Saccharomyces cerevisiae S288C: one gene and its partners. Each later gene encodes a partner of the first gene's protein in a complex. Each region holds a gene or a part of one and is shown on either strand. Other genes may lie near its edges.

Region 1 (3,199 bases):
TTTTGAAAAGATGCAACAGGGTAAGATCAGCAAAATTTAGGGCCGAACAAAGCCCCGATCTTCGTATATGGTACCTCGTTCCCGTACTTATTTTCAATTTTTGGCGTCGTTTACTGCCGTTTCCGATAAATACAAAAAAGTTTTCGAGAAGCGAGAGTAAGTGAGGAGCAGACAATGTATTATTCACTGTAAACTGCTCCACTTCGTCTCAATGGTACACTTCATTTTTATCGCCTTACGAAGCATGCGTTTTATGCGAAGATTGGTGAGAAACCTCCAATACTTGCTGTTGCCGATAACTTCTTCATTGCTTTTTATATAGTTCGGGTGTTTTCTCCTATCCTCTGCTGCTCTCTTTTTCTTTCCATTCGTCTTTGTAATTTATAAGCTGTTAATTTTCATTCAAGTTTCCCTTATCTGTTTTACTTTCGATTTAAGTTTTACATAATTTAAAAAAACAAGAATAAAATAATAATATAGTAGGCAGCATAAGATGAGTGAAACAGAATTGAGAAAAAGACAGGCCCAATTCACTAGGGAGTTACATGGTGATGATATTGGTAAAAAGACAGGTTTGAGTGCATTGATGTCGAAGAACAACTCTGCCCAAAAGGAAGCCGTTCAGAAGTACTTGAGAAATTGGGATGGTAGAACCGATAAAGATGCCGAAGAACGTCGTCTTGAGGATTATAATGAAGCCACACATTCCTACTATAACGTCGTTACAGATTTCTATGAATATGGTTGGGGTTCCTCTTTCCATTTCAGCAGATTTTATAAAGGTGAGAGTTTCGCTGCCTCGATAGCAAGACATGAACATTATTTAGCTTACAAGGCTGGTATTCAAAGAGGCGATTTAGTTCTCGACGTTGGTTGTGGTGTTGGGGGCCCAGCAAGAGAGATTGCAAGATTTACCGGTTGTAACGTCATCGGTCTAAACAATAACGATTACCAAATTGCCAAGGCAAAATATTACGCTAAAAAATACAATTTGAGTGACCAAATGGACTTTGTAAAGGGTGATTTCATGAAAATGGATTTCGAAGAAAACACTTTCGACAAAGTTTATGCAATTGAGGCCACATGTCACGCTCCAAAATTAGAAGGTGTATACAGCGAAATCTACAAGGTTTTGAAACCGGGTGGTACCTTTGCTGTTTACGAATGGGTAATGACTGATAAATATGACGAAAACAATCCTGAACATAGAAAGATCGCTTATGAAATTGAACTAGGTGATGGTATCCCAAAGATGTTCCATGTCGACGTGGCTAGGAAAGCATTGAAGAACTGTGGTTTCGAAGTCCTCGTTAGCGAAGACCTGGCGGACAATGATGATGAAATCCCTTGGTATTACCCATTAACTGGTGAGTGGAAGTACGTTCAAAACTTAGCTAATTTGGCCACATTTTTCAGAACTTCTTACTTGGGTAGACAATTTACTACAGCAATGGTTACTGTAATGGAAAAATTAGGTCTAGCCCCAGAAGGTTCCAAGGAAGTTACTGCTGCTCTAGAAAATGCTGCGGTTGGTTTAGTTGCCGGTGGTAAGTCCAAGTTATTCACTCCAATGATGCTTTTCGTCGCTAGGAAGCCAGAAAACGCCGAAACCCCCTCCCAAACTTCCCAAGAAGCAACTCAATAAATTCACTAGATCAATAAGATTCAAATAAAGCGCACGATATATACCTATTTTCCTATATATGCAGATAAAAAGATAGCACGTTCATTGCTAGCAGGCCTTACAAACAGACTGTCCGATGCCTTTACTACCCCACAATTTATCCCACTTGTGATTTTCAAGTTCGGCTTTTTTTTTTTTCATCATGTCGTGGCAAACGACCAGTATTTTCTATCAGAATAAGAAAAAACTATAATTCACTGCATACAAACGTATTGACTGCTCCCCTACAGCGGAAGATAGTAAGAATACAACATCGTAACTGTTTCCATATTTATGTGCCGATATGGTAAAAGTGAAATCTAAGAATAGTGTTATAAAGCTATTGTCTACAGCGGCAAGTGGATACTCTCGTTACATCTCGATTAAGAAAGGTGCACCTTTGGTTACTCAGGTCAGATACGATCCTGTGGTGAAACGGCATGTGCTTTTCAAAGAAGCAAAGAAAAGGAAAGTGGCAGAAAGAAAGCCATTGGATTTCTTGCGTACAGCCAAGTGAAGAAATATGAATAAGCACGAGCCCCGGCATGTAAGCCCATCGAATACGCAGACGTTACGCATTTTTTTTCATTTATCCTGTAAATAAGTAATGGATACATACATTTTGTATACGATTCAAACGGAAAGAAATTCCGCTAACGAAAAAGAAGTTATATAAAATTACATTACAATAATCAACTCCCTCATAATAAAGTTGATATTTCATTTAGATATGCAAAAACACATATGCATACATACATACATACGTATATGTAAAAGTTAGAATCAAGGAAAACTCGTGACATACAAATGCAAGCATAAATGAAAAAAAAAGATCGAGATTCAGTATTTCATCGAAACATCGAAATCTTCATAACTATTCTTATTAACGTGGTAATATTAAAGTCTTTTTTATTGATTTCTTCTTGGGTGATATTGGTTCTCCTTTTGGTGATTAATGACCTCCCCATGTACTGTTACCACCATAGTTTGACTTATTTCCTTGGTTGTTCCAAGCAGACCTATTTCCATCGTCTTGGTTACCCCATGCAGAAGCTCCGCCATCTCTTGTACTTTTATTATTGTTATTTCCTCCCCAGGTGGAAGCCCCGCCGTAGGCTGACCTATCACCGGTACCACCCCAAGTAGACATGGCACCATTAGATTCACCACCCGACGCCCAAGTGGATGCACCGCCCCAACTTGATTTGTTACCCCAGGCTGAAGCACCACCCCAAGTAGAAGTAGCACCAGTACCTTGGCCGCCCCAAGCTGAGGCACCGCCGCCAGCACCGCCCCAAGCGGATGCACCTCCATTACCTTGGCCACCCCAAGTGGAAGCACCACCCCATGAGGAGACACCGCCACCACCTGAGCCTCCATGCGCATTTACAGCTGGTGTTTTGCCACCATCGAAGGAGCTCCATCCTGGTGTCATACCACCGCTAAGACCAGAAGAGGTAGCCGCAGCACCTGCTGCAATACCGCCAGTGGCCATGTTTCTTGGGGCACTGACGTAACTTGGGCCCATTCTGGCCT
Region 2 (3,441 bases), on another chromosome or scaffold:
CCACATATACTTATATGCCATGGTCCTAATTGAGTTCCTAGGTTTGTCACGACGGTGGCCACCGGCCGATCAACCGTATCATTTACTATTTTTTTCAAGAGGACAACGACTTCATTCTTCAAAAAGTCGTTCCAGGTACGAGTGATTTAGGAAGGTCTGAAGAAAAGCGACTATGCATTTTTGCAAAATTGCGTCAACGTTTCAGATACTCTCTGGTGCGCAAAAATGCGTTTATTTCAAGCCAAGTTGCAATCTTTATCAAAACTTGATATACATTAAAATACTCACTAATATATATATATATATATATATATGTACATATACATATATAGATTTATATGACGTTTCCGACGCATACTGGTGAACCACTTTCTTTTTAGTGAATAGCCTCATTATGCAGTTTCCGGTATTTTTTTTCCGTTGCTTCAGCTACGGGATTTCTTCGATGCCATTGAAAAATAAAGTTGTGTTCAATGAGAATATGGAAAGAAAAGACACTTTTTACCAGCTGATCTTAAAAGTTTTGTCTGCTTTATTACTTCTATCGGTAAGAAACTCGAGTGGACATACGAGACACTTTGTGCAGTCGTCGGAGAAAATTTATAGGCGATCACTCTTTAAGCAATAAGAAAGTTTCACGTATATTATTGAATAATACATTAATCATATTGTATATCGGTGGTTGTACAAGGAAAGAGCGAGCCTGCACAAAATGTATGTTGATCCGATGAACAACAATGAAATCAGGAAATTAAGCATTACTGCCAAGACAGAAACAACTCCAGATAACGTTGGACAAGACATTCCTGTAAACGCACATTCGGTGCATGAGGAATGTTCTTCCAACACACCCGTGGAGATAAATGGAAGAAACAGCGGAAAGTTGAAAGAAGAAGCGTCTGCAGGTATTTGTTTGGTTAAAAAACCAATGCTACAATATAGAGATACCTCAGGAAAGTATTCCCTAAGTGACTTTCAGATTTTAAGAACTTTGGGAACTGGCTCATTTGGGAGAGTTCACCTAATTCGTTCCAATCACAATGGGAGGTTTTACGCTTTGAAGACATTGAAAAAGCACACTATAGTGAAGCTGAAGCAGGTTGAACACACCAATGACGAACGCCGAATGCTTTCAATTGTTTCACATCCATTCATCATTCGAATGTGGGGAACGTTCCAAGATTCTCAGCAAGTTTTCATGGTAATGGACTACATTGAAGGTGGTGAATTATTTTCTTTACTACGTAAATCTCAAAGATTTCCCAACCCAGTAGCCAAATTTTATGCCGCAGAGGTATGCTTAGCGTTGGAATATTTGCACAGTAAGGATATAATATATAGAGACTTGAAACCAGAAAATATCCTTCTAGATAAAAACGGCCATATCAAGATAACCGACTTTGGCTTCGCAAAATACGTTCCCGATGTCACATACACATTATGTGGCACACCAGATTACATAGCGCCGGAAGTGGTCAGTACAAAACCGTATAATAAATCAGTGGATTGGTGGAGTTTTGGTGTGCTAATCTATGAAATGCTTGCCGGATACACTCCATTTTACAATTCGAACACCATGAAAACTTACGAAAATATACTGAACGCCGAATTGAAGTTCCCACCATTTTTCCATCCAGACGCGCAGGACTTATTGAAGAAGCTAATTACCAGAGACTTAAGTGAAAGGTTGGGTAACTTACAAAATGGAAGTGAAGATGTCAAGAACCATCCGTGGTTTAACGAAGTGATATGGGAGAAATTGTTAGCAAGATACATAGAAACGCCGTACGAACCACCAATCCAACAGGGCCAAGGTGACACTTCTCAATTTGACAGATACCCTGAAGAGGAATTCAACTATGGAATTCAAGGGGAGGATCCATATATGGATTTAATGAAAGAATTTTAAGGAGGTTCAGTGGGATAATTGTAATTGAAAAAAAAAAAAAATCAATAAAAGTAAAAACAAGAACAAGAAAAAGCACAAACAAACCTGGTTATAGATTCTTGGTGAGTCTAACAGGGCCATGATAAAAAAGTGACACATGCATATATGTACATGTATATATCTACGTACGTCTATTCAATAGAGGTGTATACAGATAAATAAAGGAGCATTCATATACGCCATATTGTGACTACATTTGCGTCCTCAGAAGACTGGGACGTTCAAAGTGATCTAGGACTTTTCACCCAGGGAAAACAGGATATCTGTAAGAATCGGCCATAAAACTCATTAATAGAAGAACAGTATAACATAAGTGAGCCTGCTACAATAAGAAGATGTCTAAGGTTGCACAACAGTTAAAATTTTTGAATAAAATTAGCGCCACTACCAGACTACCGCAGATTCTAGTCGATCCTAAAAAATACTCAGGTCTTAGATTGACTTTTCAAACGAAAAACCACAATGGACATATGGGTGCCAGAGTTTTTTGGCATAACTACCTACCCACTTTGCAGTTCTATAATCCAAGAATGAAGTTTGACGTGATAAGGATAAAGAACGAAGACAAGCAAAAAAGCGTTCCATGCAAACTGGAGATTTTATCTCATGAAGGCTCCGTTGTAGAGACTATTGATATGCGTAATAAAATGCATGAAGATATAATGAAAGACTTACTTGACAAAATAGAGCACGTTCCTCTTCCTGAAAATGAGATCATAAGAGTTGGACCGCAAGAAAGTATTATATAAGCTTTCTCTCGATAAGTTTGTTCATGTATATATCAAAAAACATTGCCCTTCATGGAAATATGTAAATTCAAAACTCACTTATGGGGCATATAAGTATATAATTTAGAGTACAATAAGTAGGATTGTGCTGAATATTGTCAGCCCTTGGGTCCCTTTTTTTGCCCTCCGCGTATTTCTTGTGGAAAATAAGGAAATTTCATTTTCACTTCAACTAGCTAGTTTAATTGCATGATGGACTCAAAAACATTGACAGCATCAATGGTAATGCAGGAGGAGAAGAAGCGGCAACAACCTGTGACAAGAAGAGTAAGGTCATTTTCTGAGTCCTTTAAAAACCTTTTCAGGCCGCCTCGTTCAAGAGATTCAAGTCCTATTAATGTCACCCGAATTCCTTATCGATCGTCTTCTACCTCACCCAAGAGAAGCTCTGAGCCACCAAGACGATCAACCGTATCCGCACAAATTTTAGATCCAAAAAATTCTCCAATACGCCAGCGTAGTTATACATTGAAGTGTTGCACCCCGGGCCTGTCACATCCATTTAGACAGACAGGAAGTGGTGCTAGTAATAGTCCTACCAGACATCGCTCTATATCTGGGGAAGAACAGGAAATTGTTAACAGTTTACCAGAATACAAAAGATCTGCTTCTCATACTTTTCATGGCATACGGCGTCCACGTTCAAGAAGTTCATCTGTTTCGTCATGTGACAGTTCAAATGGAACGACAAGTTCATCAGACAGT
Region 3 (4,216 bases), on another chromosome or scaffold:
GTTAACCTTTCCGATTGTCTCGAAAAGGTCGTAAAGATCACTTTTTGCAGTTGAAAATGGCAAATTACTGCAATATATGAGTCTATTTCTTTCACCTCCACCGACAACGTTTTCGGTAAATTTTCGAGCTTCTTCGTTAACGGGAGAATCATCCATTGGGATATCAACATCGTCTCCATCACTGTGGTTATGTACGCTTTCCTTAGACTTGACATCCAAGACGTTACCCTCTATACTATAACCGTTGTATTTCTCAATCGCTCTATGCAGATCTTTAATATCATAAAAGGACACCGTACCAGATCCAGTGGATACTCCATCGCCATCCAATTCCACATCAGCGTGTGCGACATTCCCACATTCCTTGAATATGTCTTTCAAAGCCTGCCAATTAACGGAAGCAGGTAAATTTTTTACAATAACTTCATGTGTTTTTCGGTTATGTCTAAGCTCTCCTCTATCGAGTGCTTTCCTTTCCTTGATATTGTTTGACGGTGGTGGATTATCTTGCCTGACGAAGATTTTACGATCCATGAAGAAGGCCCCATCGTACTGGCGGATGGCCCTGTCAACATCATCCGAATTAGTGAACTCTACTGTACCCATACCTCTGTGGTGCCCTCTTGATGTAATTATATCCGCGCGGACTACTTTTCCTATCTGTGAAAAAAACTCAGTGAGATCTTCGGGGGTGCTGTCATATGTTAAATTACCCACGAATATACTATTGGAATAGTTTCTATTGACCTTTTCTTCGTATGTACTATCCAATTCACGTGCCAACAAAGGACCGTAATCACCTCTTGCTCCACTACTACCAAAACCGCCTCTCCTACTGTCATCACGTGTATTGTGTCTACTCCTAAAGCTTCTAGGATAGTCATCACGTCTGTTCCCATAACGACCAGTCACATCTCTTCCTCTGCGCCTATCATCGTAACGGTCTCTAGATCTAGGATTATCTCTGTTATTGAACCTTTCTCTTTCTCTGTAATCAGACCTTTCTCTACCTCCTCTATATTCTCCTCTATCTCTGCTTCCTCTGTACGTATCTGCGAACTTACGCCTACCGTTATAATTACCTGACCTCCGGGACAAATGGTTGTCTCTTTCATAACCATGATCATCACTCATCCGACGACGAACAGGTGATCTCGACCTCGATCTACTTCGATTATTCTACAACAATGAATAACATTAGTAAAAGTAACTAAATTTCATAATGAGAGAGACCAATAAGTCATTGCGTTTCAAAGTTGGAATAAACTGTACATTATAGCATGGCAGGTAGAAAATCAGGGTTTTATTTATAATTGATATTCTCACTTTCATAGCCAGTAGATAAACATTAGCAATGCATTCAAAAAACCCCCTTTAACCAGTGGAATCACATTGAAGCAAGCGTTTTGAAGGCAGCATTAAATGGTGACTCACCATTCGTTGATGTCTATTTAATTCCAATGACCTCATAAAGTCTCATTTTACAAACTTTTCTTCACCTCCCTTATCAATGAAACATACGTTTTCTGAACCTCGTTCTTGATCAGACATATCCTGTTAACTTAATATTTGGCGTTCTATCTGCTCATTCAAACTGTTTTCGAACTCATGAGCAAACATAATTATGAAATTTTTCAGCCAGTACTCTACTTTTTCATTTCCCTCGCTAAACAAAGAGAGTCATTTGAAACGACCCAAGGAAAGACGTAAATTGAGGTATATGTAGTGACCAGAAGAGGATAAGGATGGCTAGAGTTTGGTGTTCAAGTTCAATTGTTTGGTTGAATAGGTACTAAAAAGATTTTCACACAACGGCTTCTCTGTAATGTTATACACACTGTTTTTATACCAATTATGCAAATTTGGCTGTTATGACTGGGTGTTTCGATATCTGACGTTCCGCTATTGAATTTTAAAGCTCTTTCTTTGGAGACTCATTCAAGATAGTTCACTGAAGAATGAAGTTGGCTCATTGTAAAAATAAAACTCGCCAGTTTGGGTGGTCATAATATTTCAAGCTTAACCTAAGGTGAGAATATGTGGAATCCTATTTTACTAGATACTTCTAGTTTTTCATTCCAAAAACATGTGTCTGGTGTGTTCCTTCAAGTGCGTAATGCCACCAAAAGGGCTGCGGGCTCGAGAACAAGTATGAAGGATTCTGCAGGAAGAAGGTTAGGACCAAAAAAATATGAAGGCCAGGATGTTTCCACAGGTGAAATTATTATGAGGCAAAGAGGAACAAAGTTTTATCCTGGAGAAAACGTTGGTATAGGGAAAGATCATTCCATATTCGCCTTAGAACCTGGTGTTGTTCGTTACTATCTTGATCCTTTTCATCCTAAAAGAAAATTCATTGGTGTTGCCTTGAGGCGTGATTTGAAACTGCCATCTCCTCATTTTGAGCCTACCGTAAGGAGGTTTGGCCGTTTTGAGTTAACAAATAAAAGGGCAGCATATAAGGAAGAAAATTCTATTTCTAGAAAAGACTATCTCGCAAAACCTAATATTTTGAAGCAGTTAGAGGTCAGGGAATCTAAAAGAAAGGAGTTACAAGACAAGTTGAGTAAGGTTCTTCGGGATGAACTTAAGTTAGATATAAAAGACATCGAATTGGCAACGTCATACTTAATTCGTGTAAGGGCTTCCCTGAAGAATGGATACCCCATAGAAGATGCAAGGTTCAATAGTAGATATTATTTAAAAGAAGAAGAGCGTTTGAAGGCAAGGAGAGAAAGCTGGACGAATGAGAAATTGTCGGAGAGTCTATCCAAGATTGATGAGTGTAGTGATCTTTTGAACTCATCTACATCTTTCAATAACAAGCTAGAGCTACACCAGTATATTTCGGAACAAGAAAAACAAGCTTTGAAGGCAAAACTATTAGAGGACCTAGAAAAATCCCAACACTTAGAAACCAAAAAAGACAAGAATTATATTAAGGCGCTTTTCAAGGACGCTTGTAATTTTTTGACTTTATCTGAAGAAGTACATTTGCGTAGGAAATACTTAAAGTCGGTCTTCCCCGAAACAGATAGTACGGTTGAAACCAAAAGCGGGAAGAAGTCAATTGTGTCTAGACGTTTTGATTACACCAAAAATAAAGTTGAAGTCATTGCTAGAAGTAGGCGGGCTTTTTTGAGCAAGCTTTGATTTTCTTTCCTTACGCACAGTATGTACACATATAAAATGTTTAAGAATGCCTGTAAATATTACTATTTTGTCGCGCAAGTAGCTAAACCTTTCGTCTACACGAAACTTAAAATTTAGTGCTACATGCAAGGGAATATGTTTATACTGTACATTCTCGTCTTCCTTTCATTGATGATATGCATCGCGATTGCTTTCATTTTGTGAACAATCAATTAACTAAAATGCACAGGATAGTAAAATCTATATTTACAAAAAGGCGGATAAGCAAACACTGAAAATCATAATGTTTTTTGTCACTTCGGTCCTTCAAGCTTGGTAGTTGATAAATTGTAAACTATACATCGTTTAATGCGACACATACAGCTCCCTTGTGGTGTCCACCGTACTGTCTGACAATTTCTCTAGTTGATAAATCCCATAATCTCACGTAATGATCGGACGATGCCGTTACTAGATACGCACTGTCAGCACTAAATGCGCAATCCCAAACCCACCTTTGGTGGCCATCCAATGTCGTTTCTAGCTTAAAATCATCATCAATCGACCACACACGAGCAGTGTGATCCGCTGAACATGTTGCCAAATGTTTTACATCAGATGATAGTAGAATTCTAGTTATATATGTGGAGTGCGCTCTGAATTTTGTTACCGGTTTTAGATGGGATGCGTCAGTATGATTTGGCATTTCCCATACGTAACAATTACCTTTAGTATTTGCTGCCGCTAACATCGAACCATCACTTGCCATAGATAAAGACTGGAGAGAGGTATCGTCCTCAGGTGTCAATTGATGGGTACACTGATTTTCTCCTAAGTCCCAAATTCTTATATTACCATCTCTATCACAAGATATCAACTCGCCTTGGTTAGGATGAATTACGACTTCATTTACTGGTGCGTTATGTTTGTAATTTCTAGGAATGGACGGAGAACGCACATCCCAAACTTTAATGGTCCCATCTTCGCTAGAGGTCACCATCCATCTGTTGTCCTGTTGAAAAGAAACGGAGGTAACGTTTCCCCGATGACCCTCAAAGGATGCTACTGGATTGGGATTTGTCGT
Region 4 (4,138 bases), on another chromosome or scaffold:
CGTTATTATCCCAAGAACTGAAAACACAATTGCTTACATTAACAGTGAGTTGGATGAGTTGGACAGAGAAGAATTTTATAGATTGAAAAAGGTCCAAGAAAAGAAGCAAAATGAGACTGCAAAATTGGATGCTGAGATGAAATTGAAGAGAGATAGAGCAGAACAAGATGCTTCAGAAGTAGCTGCTGATGAGGAACCTCAAGGTGAAACATTGGTTGCTGATCAAGAAGACGATGTTATATTCTGAAGTTTCAGGCAGAACAAGACCCTTTTCAAAAATATGTAAGCCATTATTAAAAAAAAGGATATTTTGTATAATTGTTTAATAAAATAACATCTTTTTAAACAATCATAAATAGCACTTCTTATCATACAACCTCAAATCATATCGGTCCAAATTTGCTCAAATTGTACATGAGATATAACTTTTTCTTCTAATGCTTTCATTTCAGAGTTTGTTTTTTTTTTTTCTTTTTTTTTTTTTTCCTTACCGGAGTCTGAATCTCTTACTTCCTTAACTTAGATGTTAGTGACTAAAATCTGATGGACAGTATCAAAATGTAAATATTGTACCTAAAAAGAAAAAAGTATTAAAGTGGTTTGCCATAAATTTTAAACAAGTGAAAAGTTTCAATATTTATATTTACATGATTGTGGACAAGCGGCATTGTCTACAGGCTGTGCAAAATTATATAGTACAGATAAATGTAACCAGAACAACGAAGAAAAGGTCCCTATGTTGCTTCTTTTCTACTAAAATTAGCCTATTTATAATCTTGCATCTTTGCCTCTTGGTCTGTCTTTTACTTTCATTCTATTTTGATTTTTACCCCTTCTAGTCTTGTACCCCTTTGCCAGTTGTCCCCATGGAGACATTGATAATTTATTAGACTTGGATTTACCACGGCCACCACCGTGAGGATGGTCACATTTATTCATGGCAACACCTCTAACAGTGGGTCTTATCCCTAACCATCTTGATCTGCCGGCTTTACCAAGAGATCTGTTTTGATGGTCAATATTGGAGACCACGCCAATGGTAGCGACAGCCTCTAAAGACACATAACGATGTTCACCGCTTTGTAATCTAACAATAGCTTTCTTTTTTTCAGGTAATTTCGCAAGGACTCTGGCATATGTACCAGCAGAGCGACAAAATTTTCCAGGTCCAACGGGTGTTATGCCAACGTTGTGAATAATAGTACCTATGGGGATCATGGAAATAGGTAGACAGTTGCCTCTTTGGGTAGTCTTAACACTCAAGATAGCAGGGTCTACTTTCCCGCCCATTTCATTCAGTAAAGTTTGAGGAATACCTCTTCTGAAGGATTCGACCACATCGCCTGGGCGTAACCCATCACAAGCAATAATATAAGACAATTCGCCGGTAGTATTATGCTTCAATAGGGCGATATGAGAGGATCTACCCGGATCGTACTCAATCCTTTGCACCGTTTGTGCACCACCTTCCCATCTGTTAAAGTCTATCAGCCTCGTTCTATTTCTATGGCCACCACCTTGGTGACGGACAGTGATTTTTCCTGAATTATTTCTACCACCGTGCTTCTTTCGAACAACAGTTAGGGCTCTAACCGGACGACCTTTGTACAAATATGGATAAATGGGGGAACGGTACCATCTCAAACCAGGTGAGACGGGTTTTAGCCTCTTCATCTGGGTCACTTCTTTCGAAAGTTTACGACGTCTTTTAATCAATTCATCCTGCTTCTCAAGAGTCACGATATCAGTATCGTTAGGTATAATCTTTAGTAATCGTGGAGTAATGTTCAAACTGGAGTCATCTTTTGAAGTATTCTCTTGCCACAATTTAACACTCTGAGATAGAGTTCGACAGAGTATACCGTATGGATAACAAGGGTTTCTCTTACTAATAAGCGATGCTGTGGAACTGCACGACAGCGCCGATCTAAGAGACCCTAGCACCAACATCTTTCATAAACACTTAAATTATCTTCTCTGCGTATTTCTGGACTAGTTTACAACGTTCTCTTTTGCTTAGTTAGAACTCGCTTTCAGTTTCCCATACGTTCCCTTTCTCTTTCAATTATAGGTTCAAGCCCTAACTTTCCACCTCGCGTAGTCTTTTTTTTGCATGGAAAATTTTTTTTGAGTATTTAAAGAACAGAGGTTCTATTCAAATTTAACCGTAGAATATACTTATTCATCTTAAATACCAAGCGCTTCAACCTGTACGTGGATGGTAACATATAGATATTTCTATAGAATGTGTTAAGGAACAGGAGTTCCTGACAAACAAAAATAGATCGTACTAATACTTTTTTTTTCGAACTATACTGTTTGCGTATGCTTATAAAGCCAAGAGGGGGATGTTTGTGTATTACTTTCTTTACTTTTTTCTCTTCTGCATTATTGTTCCTTTAGAGATGATAAAGACAACTTACAAGTACAGTTTTTTGTTGGTATCTCATTAACATGATGACTAAGTTGTCGCCCCAAGCGGATCTTTGAAATGACTGATTTTACAAACAACAAACACTGAAAATTCTGAAATTAATGAGATATTTACACATTAAACATCAAAAGTTTTCTCAAGGAACATGTATTTAATGCAAGAAAAGGATTGCTGAAGAAAGGAATCTTTTCTCAAACATTTTACCTCTTTTGCCTCATTTGTACACAGCGGTACGGTTGGATTAAGAAAAATATCCATTCGACCTAGTTTTTTTTGTTAAGCACAATTTGGTTTCAATATCAATTCTTACTGTTATATAAAAAATTGTCTTAATTGCCATTATCACTCCTCTTTTTTTTTTTTTTTGATGATGATTACACTCCATGCTAATCATGAACGTGTTCGATGTAAATTTGAATACGATGATTAAAATTGTTGTTTACGCTTTCTGAAATCTAAACTAGAAAAGAAAAGGAACTATCAAAGAATTAGGCTCTTCGTATTGGAATTAGTTGACAGTTGCTCATGAAATGAATGGATTAAAAAAATAAAGCTGCGCAAGCCCGGAATCGAACCGGGGGCCCAACGATGGCAACGTTGGATTTTACCACTAAACCACTTGCGCTTACTATTTGTTGTTATTCAAAAAATAAAGAACCCACAGAACATAGATTAGAACATAACCTTGGAGTATCAACTTGATTCACAAAATATTATTCGTCGTATATCATGGCATATAGAATCTTGCTGGAATAAGAAGCAAGTTTCATCTTTGATCTTATGTATATAGTATTAATATGTATTATTGTTGGAATAAAGATCAACTATCATCTACTAACTAGTATTTACGTTACTAGTATATTATCATATACGGTGTTAGAAGATGACGCAAATGATGAGAAATAGTCATCTAAATTAGTGGAAGCTGAAACGCAAGGATTGATAATGTAATAGGATCAATGAATATTAACATATAAAATGATGATAATAATATTTATAGAATTGTGTAGAATTGCAGATTCCCTTTTATGGATTCCTAAATCCTCGAGGAGAACTTCTAGTACATTCTACATACCTAATATTATTGCCTTATTAAAAATGGAATCCCAACAATTATCTCAAAATTCACCCACTCTTCAATTATCATATAGGACAGAATTAGTTGACAAAAAGTACGATGGGAAACAGCTATCAAATTTAAAGGAAGCTGAAATGCAAGAATTAATAATGTAATAGGGTAGCGAACGACAAAGTATAAAAGGAAGGAGGATGAAGTTACATAATTATGTAGCACTATCGACTTCCTTTTGGGCATTTCTATAATCTCGAGGAAATCTTCTAGTATATCCTGTATACCTAATATTATTGCCTTCAACACAGACGGAATCCCAACAATTATCTCAAAATTCACCCATTTTTCACTCTCAAATCTGAATCTAAGTAAATAGTGGCAGTGAAATCCGGATCAAAATTCAGTAACTTTTGTGATATCTCACATTGACATACCACGGTCGGAGGTGAATTTCTTCACCATTAACATATAATATGATCATCTATGTAAATTTTATTGCTGTTATTCTATTAGTAGTAATGATCGAAAATAGTAGAGGTATCAACGAGGTCAATGGATCAAAGAATGCCTTGAACCTGGTTAGTCTATAAATTTTCGTTTACCTACGTATGTCATATTCAACGTTCTTTCTT

The links.
Region 2: MRPL39 (region 1) and MRP49 share a complex: the UniProt entries of both Saccharomyces cerevisiae proteins name them as parts of the mitochondrial large ribosomal subunit.
Region 3: MRPL39 (region 1) and MRP7 share a complex: the UniProt entries of both Saccharomyces cerevisiae proteins name them as parts of the mitochondrial large ribosomal subunit.
Region 4: MRPL39 (region 1) and RML2 share a complex: the UniProt entries of both Saccharomyces cerevisiae proteins name them as parts of the mitochondrial large ribosomal subunit.

What each region holds. Positions count from the first base shown.
Region 1 is NC_001145.3:250,285-253,483, reverse strand, and holds MRPL39 (mitochondrial 54S ribosomal protein bL33m MRPL39), read left to right. Parts: upstream 1-1,967; coding exon 1,968-2,180; downstream 2,181-3,199. Other genes in the region: MIN4 (Min4p), read left to right, coding at 212-322; ERG6 (sterol 24-C-methyltransferase), read left to right, coding at 494-1,645; transcription elongation factor SPT5, read right to left, coding at 2,616-3,199. UniProt on the Saccharomyces cerevisiae protein: Component of the mitochondrial ribosome (mitoribosome), a dedicated translation machinery responsible for the synthesis of mitochondrial genome-encoded proteins, including at least some of the essential transmembrane subunits of the mitochondrial respiratory chain.
Region 2 is NC_001143.9:132,977-136,417, reverse strand, and holds MRP49 (mitochondrial 54S ribosomal protein mL61 MRP49), read left to right. Parts: upstream 1-2,283; coding exon 2,284-2,697; downstream 2,698-3,441. Other genes in the region: cAMP-dependent protein kinase catalytic subunit TPK3, read left to right, coding at 713-1,909; putative serine/threonine protein kinase KKQ8, read left to right, coding at 2,956-3,441. UniProt on the Saccharomyces cerevisiae protein: Component of the mitochondrial ribosome (mitoribosome), a dedicated translation machinery responsible for the synthesis of mitochondrial genome-encoded proteins, including at least some of the essential transmembrane subunits of the mitochondrial respiratory chain.
Region 3 is NC_001146.8:620,250-624,465, reverse strand, and holds MRP7 (mitochondrial 54S ribosomal protein bL27m MRP7), read left to right. Parts: upstream 1-2,037; coding exon 2,038-3,153; downstream 3,154-4,216. Other genes in the region: HRB1 (mRNA-binding protein), read right to left, coding at 1-1,179, 1,522-1,551; TOR complex subunit LST8, read right to left, coding at 3,488-4,216. UniProt on the Saccharomyces cerevisiae protein: Component of the mitochondrial ribosome (mitoribosome), a dedicated translation machinery responsible for the synthesis of mitochondrial genome-encoded proteins, including at least some of the essential transmembrane subunits of the mitochondrial respiratory chain.
Region 4 is NC_001137.3:58,902-63,039, forward strand, and holds RML2 (mitochondrial 54S ribosomal protein uL2m RML2), read right to left. Parts: upstream 1,951-4,138; coding exon 769-1,950; downstream 1-768. Other genes in the region: VMA8 (H(+)-transporting V1 sector ATPase subunit D), read left to right, coding at 1-247. UniProt on the Saccharomyces cerevisiae protein: Component of the mitochondrial ribosome (mitoribosome), a dedicated translation machinery responsible for the synthesis of mitochondrial genome-encoded proteins, including at least some of the essential transmembrane subunits of the mitochondrial respiratory chain.